3 linked regions of the Saccharomyces cerevisiae S288C genome follow. The main gene of each other region encodes a partner of the protein of the gene in region 3 in a complex. Each region holds a gene or a part of one and is shown on either strand. Other genes may lie near its edges. A codon is read from its position in the direction of its gene.

Region 1 (3,221 bases), on a different chromosome or scaffold from region 3:
TAGCTCGCATTGATGTAGCCGAGTATATTTAAGGGATTCTTATGCAATGATGAAATATTTTTCACCTATAACGCCGACTACTGAAAACAGAGGGCCATCTTAACCGTTTTGCATTCAGTAACCCATACTCAGGATTTAATAAAAGAGGAAAGCAATGTCTCTACTAGGCGCCAGGTCCACTTACCGTTGGTTTTCAATCGCTGCATCAATTCCGACTAAGAATGCTATTGGCAAATCCACGTACCTCTTAGCTTCAAGAAATCAACAGTACCGAGGCATCATAACGTCAACTGTAGACTGGAAACCAATCAAGACAGGTAAGAGCCCAAATGATGATTCTCGAAGAGAAAGATCCTTTGGCAAGAAAATTGTTCTGGGTCTGATGTTCGCGATGCCAATAATATCCTTCTATTTGGGAACTTGGCAAGTAAGGAGATTGAAGTGGAAAACCAAGCTGATTGCGGCATGCGAAACTAAACTTACTTATGAACCAATACCACTTCCTAAGTCATTTACACCTGACATGTGCGAGGATTGGGAATACCGTAAAGTTATACTTACCGGACACTTCCTTCACAATGAAGAGATGTTTGTTGGTCCAAGAAAGAAAAATGGAGAAAAGGGTTATTTTCTGTTTACACCGTTCATTAGAGATGACACCGGTGAGAAAGTTCTGATAGAAAGAGGGTGGATAAGTGAAGAAAAAGTTGCTCCTGACTCAAGAAATTTACACCATTTGTCGTTGCCTCAAGAAGAACACTTGAAAGTGGTTTGCTTAGTAAGACCTCCAAAGAAAAGAGGCTCGCTACAATGGGCGAAAAAGGATCCAAATTCTAGATTGTGGCAGGTGCCAGACATATATGACATGGCAAGATCATCAGGGTGCACGCCCATTCAATTTCAAGCCTTGTATGACATGAAGGACCATCCAATAATCGAGGAACACACAAGAAACGAGGCTTCACAAAACAATTCCACCTCTAGCCTGTGGAAGTTCTGGAAACGAGAACCTACGACTGCTGTAAACGGAACGCAAGCTGTTGATAATAATACATCGAAGCCTCGTTCTAGGCAGGAAATGCCGACAGACCAAACAATTGAATTCGATGAACGACAGTTTATCAAAGCAGGTGTTCCCATAGGCCGGAAGCCCACTATTGATTTAAAGAATAACCATCTACAATATTTGGTAACGTGGTATGGCCTTTCGTTTTTGAGCACAATCTTCCTCATTGTGGCTCTTAGGAAGGCGAAAAGAGGGGGCGTTGTGTCCCAAGACCAACTAATGAAAGAGAAACTGAAGCATTCAAGGAAATATATGTAAACGGCAAACTCCTCTGCCCATACTATCGAACTCTATCCAAGAAGCGCGTAATTTCACGAGCACTGCCTAAACGGTTTTCCACATTAGTTTTGCAACTACAATGATTCGGATATGGCACATTTACATAATTTAAACTTGTACATAACTAACACCTTTTTATCCATATACCTTATGTGCCGCTCAAGATATGAACATTGCGCGTTGCCCGGACAATATCGATAAATAATAGCCAAAACAAACATGTTTTATCGACGCATGAATCCTTTGGCGTTAAACTTGTCCAATTGCACTGAAACTTGGAGCGTATAAGCTCAGCAATTGCACCAAAACAATATCAGAAAAGGCTTGTATTGCCACTTTCACCTATGAGCGAAGATAAAGCTAAATTAGGGACCACAAGGTCTGCCACGGAATATCGTTTATCCATTGGTAGCGCTCCGACTTCAAGAAGGTCGTCTATGGGTGAATCCTCATCCCTGATGAAATTTGCTGATCAAGAGGGATTAACGAGTTCCGTTGGCGAATATAACGAGAATACCATACAACAGCTTCTGTTGCCTAAAATAAGAGAACTGAGCGATTCAATCATTACTTTAGATTCCAATTTCACGCGCTTAAATTTTATCCACGAGAGTTTAGCTGATCTTAATGAATCCCTAGGTTCGTTGTTGTACGGTATTATGAGCAATTCATGGTGCGTAGAATTCTCACAGGCGCCTCATGATATTCAAGACGATTTGATCGCTATTAAACAATTGAAATCGTTGGAAGATGAGAAAAATAACTTAGTAATGGAACTCTCCAATATGGAACGCGGGATTAAAAGAAAAAAAGACGAACAAGGTGAAAATGATTTGGCCAAGGCATCTCAGAACAAACAGTTTAACCAGCCGCTATTTCCCTCCTCACAAGTAAGAAAATACAGGTCATATGACAACAGAGACAAGAGGAAGCCCTCCAAGATAGGCAACAACTTACAAGTAGAGAATGAGGAGGACTATGAAGACGATACTAGTAGTGAAGCTTCTTTTGTTCTAAATCCAACAAATATCGGTATGTCCAAATCATCTCAAGGTCACGTGACTAAAACCACGCGTTTGAATAATAATACCAACAGTAAACTGAGAAGAAAGTCCATCTTACATACAATCAGAAATAGCATTGCTTCCGGCGCTGATTTACCCATCGAAAACGACAATGTTGTTAATTTGGGAGATCTGCATCCAAATAATCGAATATCACTCGGAAGTGGTGCTGCAAGAGTGGTCAATGGGCCCGTTACGAAGAACAGAAATTCAATGTTCTCAGGACGTGCTGAAAGGAAACCCACAGAAAGCAGACATTCTGTTGCAAAGAAAACTGAAAAAAAAATAAATACAAGGCCCCCCTTCAGATGACTACGCCCAACCCAACCAAAGAATTATCCTCCTCACAAAATATATCGCTAGCATGCGTGAGTTATGGATAAGAAGAATATTTGATGAGCTGACTGATTCTTTATAGCAATAGGGAGGAAGGCAGTACACATATCAGCAGTGCATGGGCACAACCCGCATTACAACGAAACATGATATATCTATATAAAAGAAGATACGGACAGGCGGTCGAGGCTATTACTGTGCCACTATGCGAGTCATGAATGATTTTTAAATTAGTTAGTACCCCTTTATATAACGTCTTCAATAAAAGTGCGGGAAAATTCGGGTAATATTTTCTATAACTGTCATTTTTTTTTCGTTATGTATGGCAAACCAAATTGACAAGAAACTGGACAACGGTTAAAGCAAAAGGAGGAAGAAAGATATTGATTTGTGCTTTGAAGAATAACCCAAGCGAACAGGTCATTAATTGCCTAGAATCTTTACATAGAATTTGCCTTTTATGGAAGAGACGGGAG
Region 2 (2,935 bases), on a different chromosome or scaffold from region 3:
CTTTGCATAGAACTACGAAATCTAATTAAGGTGACTAAAAAACCTTGGTGCGAGATTGATAGTAAAACTGGCAGGTCATTTTGCGACCAAATAAGAAATCAAGTGACAAATGAAAGAAACAAAACTTTATCTAAGATCCTCTCAGAAAACGGTGTACAAGTCCAGGATTCCACATTACTTAACCACATAATTTCTTCTTTTCAAAGTGAAGCTATAACACTTCCAGAAGCTCAGGAATTATTAAGAAGGGGCGTTACTTTCGATAATAGGGTAGTCATGGAATGTGAAAAGTTAATAGTATCTACAAGTGATCCAACTTTGATCAGTATAAGCGCCAAATTGAACAGTCTCAAAGCTTCGATGGCGAACCATCAAGCAAATTTGGTAGCTAGCAAACAGTTAAGTACATATAAGTAATCTACTAGCGATAACATTAACAATAATTTATAATACAAACTGGATAAAGAGATAAATGGATGCTTTAAAAAATAAACTTCTAACTATTTCTGTTTGAGTATTTCCAACTTATTCTCCAGTTGCTTCTTCTTTTCCTTTAGTTTCTTCAATTCTTCCAATTCCTCATTAGTAGAAGATGCCATCATAACCACGTCGTCCGCGTCTCTGCCTTCGTATTCTTGACCCATGTCTGGACTATTCAGAGCATCATCGTCATCCATACTAATGTTCTTCTTTAGCCTTAAATCGTTTAATTCATAAGTTTGCTGCAAAGTATCGAGTTCCCTTTGCATTCTACCCATAGATTTACGTAACTTATCGCCCAGAGTCCTAACCAGCGGTTCTACCTCTTCAATCAAATCTAATTTTGATCTTTCAACATCATATTCGGGAACTAAACGGAAAACCCTTTTGGTTTGCAACATTGTCGATGCAAGGTTCGTGCTTGGCTCATTTGCACATTTTAAAGACTCCACAGAATCCTTCAATACTGAAACTGTTCCCTCCAACGCAAGGACGCTCTGTTCCAAAGCATCTGTCATGGTTATTTTGCCTATCCTTCAATTCGTACACAGATATATGCGTCTGTGATCTGTTTATTATTCATTTTCATTGTTGCTAACTACTACGCCCTGTGAAAACAAACTTTATAATCGCCAATAATAAATACATAATGAAAGTAAATCGCAATCCGGACCCCACGGATAGTCACCAGTCTCACCAACTGGAAATTAGAAGGAAGGAAGACAACTGTAAATTCTTGGCATGGTAGAACTGGAAAAAAGAAGACGGCCCCCTCCGCAACTGCAACATTCTCCCTATGTTAGGGATCAATCGAATTCGCAGGGAATGACAAAGACGCCAGAAACGTCACCGCCTAAGAGGCCCATGGGAAGAGCTAGATCAAACTCGAGAAGCAGTGGATCCCGTTCAAATGTCGATATAGATCAGTATACCATACCACCAGGCTTAGATTTGTTGCCTACCGCTTCATCTCCACCTTCCGTCCATCAAGTTTCACAACAGCAACAATTATCCCCAATATTAGCCAACAAAATCCGTTCTCCATTTGAAAATCAAAGTCAGGATCAAAATGACAATTCAATAGACCCAACACCGGCTGGACAAGTAACAATTCCTGTAGAAGCCGTATCTCCACCGGCACTGGACGAATTATCGAAATTCCAAAATGGTTCAACTGAGACATTATTTAGAACTGGATCACCCCGTAAGAAGCATACACATATTATTATACTCAAATCCTTAAATGCAACTTTTGAGACCAAGTTTCTTGTTGTACCATTTAAACCTGACGGACTTAAATTAGGTCGACCAGTTACCAATAGCGTAAACAAGAATAATTCAGGATCGAAAAGAGATTTATTTTCGCAACAAGTTAGACCAGATAACGGAAATTTTGACTCAAGAGTTCTTTCCAGAAATCACGCTTGTCTCAGTTGTGATCCTACATCAGGAAAGATATATATTCGCGATCTAAAGTCCAGCAATGGGACATTTGTTAATGGGGTTAAAATACGCCAAAATGATGTAGAATTAAAAGTTGGTGATACTGTGGATTTGGGAACTGATATTGACTCAAAGTTTGAACATAGAAAAATCAGTGCGTATGTGGAAGAGATTTCAGTAATTCCCTTAATGAACACTGTATCTGATCCCACAAATTTGGTGATGAAAAAACAAGATCATACTAATAAGAATAATGGGAACTCCACTAATATAAACGGAATAAAGATAGACAGAGGTCATCATAATCAACACATTCCAATACGATCTCATTTAAAGGAAAATTATACCGAAGCTGGTGTAACATCTGCAACAACGGCTCAAAGGGCAGCCTTTGAGGCAGCTATGTTTGGAGATATTAATAACTCAGAATTAGATGATGATATTTTAGGTCCAGAAACTGAGGTTCTCAGTGGAATTTTTATCAACAATTCAGCAGGTACAAGCATAAATTTGATAAATATGATAAAAACTTTGACTACTGAGCTGTCCTTAGAAAAACAAGAGCTGGAAAAATTACATTCCATGCAAAACTTTATGCAAAACTATACGATAAACCTTGATTTCATCAATAAGCACATGATTGATATGAATGAAAAGCATTTACTGAAACTGAGCACGGCTTTACAAAAAACTCTATCAGAAAATAATGATGCGCTACTCAAAGAATCGGAAGATCAATTAAAAGAAATCAAACAACAAAATAATAAAGTAAAATCTGCATGTAGCTTGAAGGAAAAACAAAACCATGAAAAGCTACAGGAGCTCGAAAGTGAATTAAGAGAGCTGAACCTTCAAATAGAAGAAGAGAGGGGAAAAAATTTAGTTTTAACACAAAGCAATTTTAATGGTGGTATTAACAATGACAATAACGCTAAAGTAAAACAAAATGATTCAAGAGAAGAAAAAAAGGATACCGAAGATACATTAATAAGCACTGAAGAACTAGGAGTCG
Region 3 (3,734 bases):
CTGTGTATGTATATTATAGTCTTTATCATCAATGGCATCCCAACAATTATCTTAAAATTCACCCATTTGTCAAGATAATGGTTGATTCTTATTTAGACACAATAAAAAAACTTGAAGACATCTGCTTCTGAGCTGTAGAGGTACCAATTCGACGAAATATAAATATTTAAAACTAAGAGAAAAAATCCAACAAATAACGTTCCGTGATAGTTTAATGGTCAGAATGGGCGCTTGTCGCGTGCCAGATCGGGGTTCAATTCCCCGTCGCGGAGATTTTTTATTTTGCTTTTTATTCCTCCTGTAATATCGCTTTATACGGAAAAACTGAATTCTTTCATTATGATGAGTTCGAGAGTAACCATTTTTACTTCGTGCAACGATGCATATATTTATCTTTTACGTGAAGGGAATTCCCAAGCGTTCCCTAATGCAGTCGGGAGCAAAATGGTCAACTTGAACACTATCCCACCCAAAAATGGCAGGGACTACTACATTGCGCTTGGACTTGAAGGTTCTGCAAATAAACTGGGCGTTGGTATAGTTAAGCATCCGCTTCTGCCTAAACATGCCAACAGCGATCTATCTTATGATTGCGAAGCTGAGATGCTTTCTAATATTAGAGACACATATGTCACACCTCCTGGGGAGGGATTTTTGCCTCGAGACACGGCAAGGCATCACAGAAATTGGTGCATAAGACTCATAAAACAAGCACTGGCCGAAGCTGACATCAAAAGCCCGACACTAGACATTGATGTAATTTGCTTTACCAAAGGTCCCGGCATGGGGGCCCCTCTGCATTCAGTTGTCATCGCCGCCAGAACGTGCTCCTTACTGTGGGACGTGCCACTGGTGGGAGTAAACCACTGCATTGGTCACATCGAAATGGGGAGAGAAATCACTAAAGCTCAAAATCCTGTGGTACTGTATGTAAGTGGTGGAAATACACAAGTTATTGCATACTCGGAAAAAAGGTACCGTATCTTTGGTGAAACGCTTGATATTGCTATCGGTAATTGTCTTGATAGATTTGCAAGAACTCTGAAGATACCTAATGAGCCCTCGCCTGGCTACAACATCGAGCAGTTAGCTAAAAAAGCCCCTCACAAAGAAAACTTGGTAGAACTTCCCTATACAGTAAAGGGGATGGATCTTTCGATGAGTGGTATATTGGCTTCCATCGATTTACTTGCCAAGGATCTATTTAAGGGCAATAAGAAAAATAAGATCCTATTCGACAAGACAACGGGCGAGCAAAAAGTCACTGTAGAGGATCTTTGCTACTCTCTGCAAGAGAACCTATTCGCCATGCTAGTTGAAATAACAGAAAGAGCTATGGCTCACGTTAACTCCAATCAAGTTTTGATCGTAGGCGGTGTTGGTTGTAACGTGCGATTACAAGAAATGATGGCGCAAATGTGTAAAGACAGGGCCAATGGGCAAGTACATGCTACAGATAATAGGTTTTGTATCGATAACGGAGTTATGATTGCCCAAGCAGGACTACTAGAGTATAGAATGGGTGGGATCGTGAAGGACTTTTCTGAAACTGTTGTTACGCAGAAATTCAGAACCGATGAAGTATACGCAGCCTGGCGTGATTAACGATTTTTGTTACAGTTAGCCTAATGTTCACACTACGAATATATATATATATTTATATATGCCATACACCTTACATTTACAGCTCAGTGTATAACCTTGTGGAAGCGCGAAAATAAGCAAGAGACATTTGAAAATAATCAATAAACAAAGCTCAAAAAAATTAGATCATCACCTAACAAAATAAGACGTGGCAATTACAGAATGGGGGAAAGCTTGGATAGATGTATAGATGATATTAATAGGGCGGTGGACTCTATGTCCACACTCTATTTCAAGCCACCAGGAATTTTTCATAATGCCATCCTACAGGGAGCAAGCAACAAGGCAAGCATTAGAAAAGACATTACTAGACTAATAAAGGACTGTAACCACGACGAGGCGTATCTTCTGTTCAAAGTCAACCCTGAGAAACAATCCGTTTCACGTAGAGACGGCAAGGAGGGAGTATTCGACTATGTTATTAAACGAGATACGGACATGAAAAGAAATAGAAGGCTGGGCAGACCAGGGGAAAAACCGATCATCCATGTGCCCAAGGAAGTATATTTGAACAAAGATCGTCTTGATTTGAACAATAAAAGGAGAAGAACCGCCACTACAAGTGGCGGTGGCTTGAACGGTTTTATTTTTGATACCGATCTTATAGGATCCTCTGTCATTTCAAATTCAAGTTCAGGTACATTCAAAGCATTATCAGCCGTGTTCAAGGATGATCCGCAAATTCAAAGGCTCCTATATGCCTTGGAAAATGGAAGCGTGCTCATGGAAGAAGAATCCAATAACCAAAGAAGAAAAACCATCTTTGTCGAGGATTTCCCTACTGATTTAATTCTTAAAGTTATGGCCGAAGTAACAGATTTATGGCCACTAACAGAGTTCAAGCAGGATTACGACCAATTGTACCATAATTATGAACAACTTTCTTCCAAATTGCGCTTCATCAAGAAAGAAGTTTTGCTTCAAGATGATCGCTTAAAGACTATGTCACAGTACCATCCTTCTTCTTCTCACGACGTTGCTAAGATTATTCGAAAAGAAAAAGATGAAATTAGGCGGCTAGAAATGGAGATAGCCAACTTGCAAGAGTAGGGGAGCACTTCTCCTCAAGAATAGATATTTCCTTTGTCCTAATTGCATACATAGGCCACTGCAAATCATATAATTATGTATTACCTTACATCTAAATGTATAAAACCAACTGAGCGGATCCACCATGGGTCTGTCTCCTGTTAAAGCATGTAGCTTCATGTTTCTCACATAAACTTTCCTCATCGTAATGGAAAAAAAAAATAGTCATAAAAAAAAAACTAACCATGAATGACATATAAGATTACCACGAGCGAGAGTAAAAAAGAGTATCTCTATATGGGTTCGGGCGATACTAGAGGAGAAAGCTCTCTGGTAGCTAAACCAATCGAAATTATACTTAATAAGCTACCACATGCCATACTAGCGCAACAACAATTTCAAAAATATATAACGAGCCCCATCTACAGATATCTTTCCAAACTTCTACTGTTCAGAGAGGTGGCTTGGCCCGAAAGTACAAAAGATACCCAGAAAGGACAAGTAGGGATATTTTCCTTTCAAAACAATTATGCAGACTCTGCAACAACTTTCAGAATACTTGCTCATTTAGATGAGCAGCGATACCCGCTACCCAACGGTGCCGCTGAAAAGAATTTACCTTCTTTATTTGAAGGATTCAAAGCTACCGTTTCCATCATTCAACAGAGACTGTTGTTAGACAATGTAGACGGGGCCACGAATAGTGATAAGGAAAAATACGTTCAATTGCCGGATATTAATACTGGTTTTGTGAATAAAACGTACTCTAGAATTGACCTAACACATTTACTTGAGGATGTAGAAACTAACGTGGAAAATCTGTCAATCAATAAAACGTTAGAGATGGATGAGTTGACCAGATTAGATTCCATGATCAACGAACTAGAATCCAGGAAATTAAAAATCCTGGAAAGGGTTAAGCACATTGATAGTAAGTCTACCAATCTTGAGAATGATGTAACACTGATAAAGGATAGAATAAATTTTATCGAGGAATACAATTTGGAAGCTGATCGTGAACAGAGCTTACGGAAGCAAATGGAAGAAGAAAGATCATCTGA

The links. The genes of interacting proteins can lie anywhere in the genome.
Region 1: the proteins of SPC34 (region 3) and DAM1 are in contact, whole or in part, in a cryo-EM structure (PDB 8Q84), measured with the Saccharomyces cerevisiae proteins. Residues at the interface, in NP_012963.3 of Saccharomyces cerevisiae: Gly2 (codon at 1,810), Ser4 (codon at 1,816), Leu5 (codon at 1,819), Cys8 (codon at 1,828), Ile9 (codon at 1,831), Asp11 (codon at 1,837), Ile12 (codon at 1,840), Ala15 (codon at 1,849), Ser18 (codon at 1,858), Met19 (codon at 1,861), Leu22 (codon at 1,870), Tyr23 (codon at 1,873), Phe24 (codon at 1,876), Lys25 (codon at 1,879), Pro27 (codon at 1,885), Gly28 (codon at 1,888), Ile29 (codon at 1,891), Phe30 (codon at 1,894), His31 (codon at 1,897), Ile34 (codon at 1,906), Arg45 (codon at 1,939), Ile48 (codon at 1,948), Leu51 (codon at 1,957), Ile52 (codon at 1,960); in NP_011628.4 of Saccharomyces cerevisiae: Gln60 (codon at 1,867), Leu64 (codon at 1,879), Ile67 (codon at 1,888), Arg68 (codon at 1,891), Leu70 (codon at 1,897), Ser71 (codon at 1,900), Ile74 (codon at 1,909), Ile75 (codon at 1,912), Leu77 (codon at 1,918), Asp78 (codon at 1,921), Phe81 (codon at 1,930), Thr82 (codon at 1,933), Leu84 (codon at 1,939), Asn85 (codon at 1,942), His88 (codon at 1,951), Glu89 (codon at 1,954), Ala92 (codon at 1,963), Asp93 (codon at 1,966), Glu96 (codon at 1,975), Gly99 (codon at 1,984), Ser100 (codon at 1,987), Leu102 (codon at 1,993), Tyr103 (codon at 1,996), Met106 (codon at 2,005), Trp110 (codon at 2,017).
Region 2: the proteins of SPC34 (region 3) and SPC19 are in contact, whole or in part, in a cryo-EM structure (PDB 8Q84), measured with the Saccharomyces cerevisiae proteins. Residues at the interface, in NP_012963.3 of Saccharomyces cerevisiae: Ile52 (codon at 1,960), Glu59 (codon at 1,981), Leu63 (codon at 1,993), Phe64 (codon at 1,996), Lys70 (codon at 2,014), Gln71 (codon at 2,017), Val73 (codon at 2,023), Arg75 (codon at 2,029), Gly81 (codon at 2,047), Val82 (codon at 2,050), Phe83 (codon at 2,053), Tyr115 (codon at 2,149), Lys118 (codon at 2,158), Asp119 (codon at 2,161), Ser158 (codon at 2,278), Thr160 (codon at 2,284), Phe161 (codon at 2,287), Leu181 (codon at 2,347), Phe201 (codon at 2,407), Glu203 (codon at 2,413), Thr207 (codon at 2,425), Ile210 (codon at 2,434), Met214 (codon at 2,446), Trp221 (codon at 2,467), Leu223 (codon at 2,473), Phe226 (codon at 2,482), Leu233 (codon at 2,503), Asn236 (codon at 2,512), Tyr237 (codon at 2,515), Leu240 (codon at 2,524); in NP_010487.3 of Saccharomyces cerevisiae: Arg45 (codon at 866), Arg48 (codon at 857), Leu49 (codon at 854), Val50 (codon at 851), Pro51 (codon at 848), Tyr53 (codon at 842), Asp54 (codon at 839), Val55 (codon at 836), Arg57 (codon at 830), Ser58 (codon at 827), Lys59 (codon at 824), Asp61 (codon at 818), Leu62 (codon at 815), Glu65 (codon at 806), Val66 (codon at 803), Leu69 (codon at 794), Val70 (codon at 791), Leu73 (codon at 782), Lys76 (codon at 773), Leu77 (codon at 770), Lys79 (codon at 764), Ser80 (codon at 761), Met81 (codon at 758), Arg83 (codon at 752), Met84 (codon at 749), Gln85 (codon at 746), Glu87 (codon at 740), Leu88 (codon at 737), Leu91 (codon at 728), Gln92 (codon at 725).

The regions. Positions count from the first base shown.
Region 1 is NC_001139.9:717,204-720,424, forward strand, and holds DAM1 (Dam1p), read left to right. Parts: upstream 1-1,689; coding exon 1,690-2,721; downstream 2,722-3,221. Other genes in the region: cytochrome oxidase assembly protein SHY1, read left to right, coding at 155-1,324; chromatin-remodeling histone chaperone SPT6, read left to right, coding at 3,206-3,221. UniProt on the Saccharomyces cerevisiae protein: Component of the DASH complex that connects microtubules with kinetochores and couples microtubule depolymerisation to chromosome movement; it is involved in retrieving kinetochores to the spindle poles before their re-orientation on the spindle in early mitosis and allows microtubule depolymerization to pull chromosomes apart and resist detachment during anaphase.
Region 2 is NC_001136.10:854,380-857,314, reverse strand, and holds SPC19 (Spc19p), read right to left. Parts: upstream 999-2,935; coding exon 501-998; downstream 1-500. Other genes in the region: RAV2 (Rav2p), read left to right, coding at 1-417; VPS64 (Vps64p), read left to right, coding at 1,222-2,935. UniProt on the Saccharomyces cerevisiae protein: Component of the DASH complex that connects microtubules with kinetochores and couples microtubule depolymerisation to chromosome movement; it is involved in retrieving kinetochores to the spindle poles before their re-orientation on the spindle in early mitosis and allows microtubule depolymerization to pull chromosomes apart and resist detachment during anaphase.
Region 3 is NC_001143.9:509,870-513,603, reverse strand, and holds SPC34 (Spc34p), read left to right. Parts: upstream 1-1,806; coding exon 1,807-2,694; downstream 2,695-3,734. Other genes in the region: KAE1 (tRNA N6-adenosine threonylcarbamoyltransferase), read left to right, coding at 445-1,605; CAF4 (Caf4p), read left to right, coding at 2,971-3,734. UniProt on the Saccharomyces cerevisiae protein: Component of the DASH complex that connects microtubules with kinetochores and couples microtubule depolymerisation to chromosome movement; it is involved in retrieving kinetochores to the spindle poles before their re-orientation on the spindle in early mitosis and allows microtubule depolymerization to pull chromosomes apart and resist detachment during anaphase.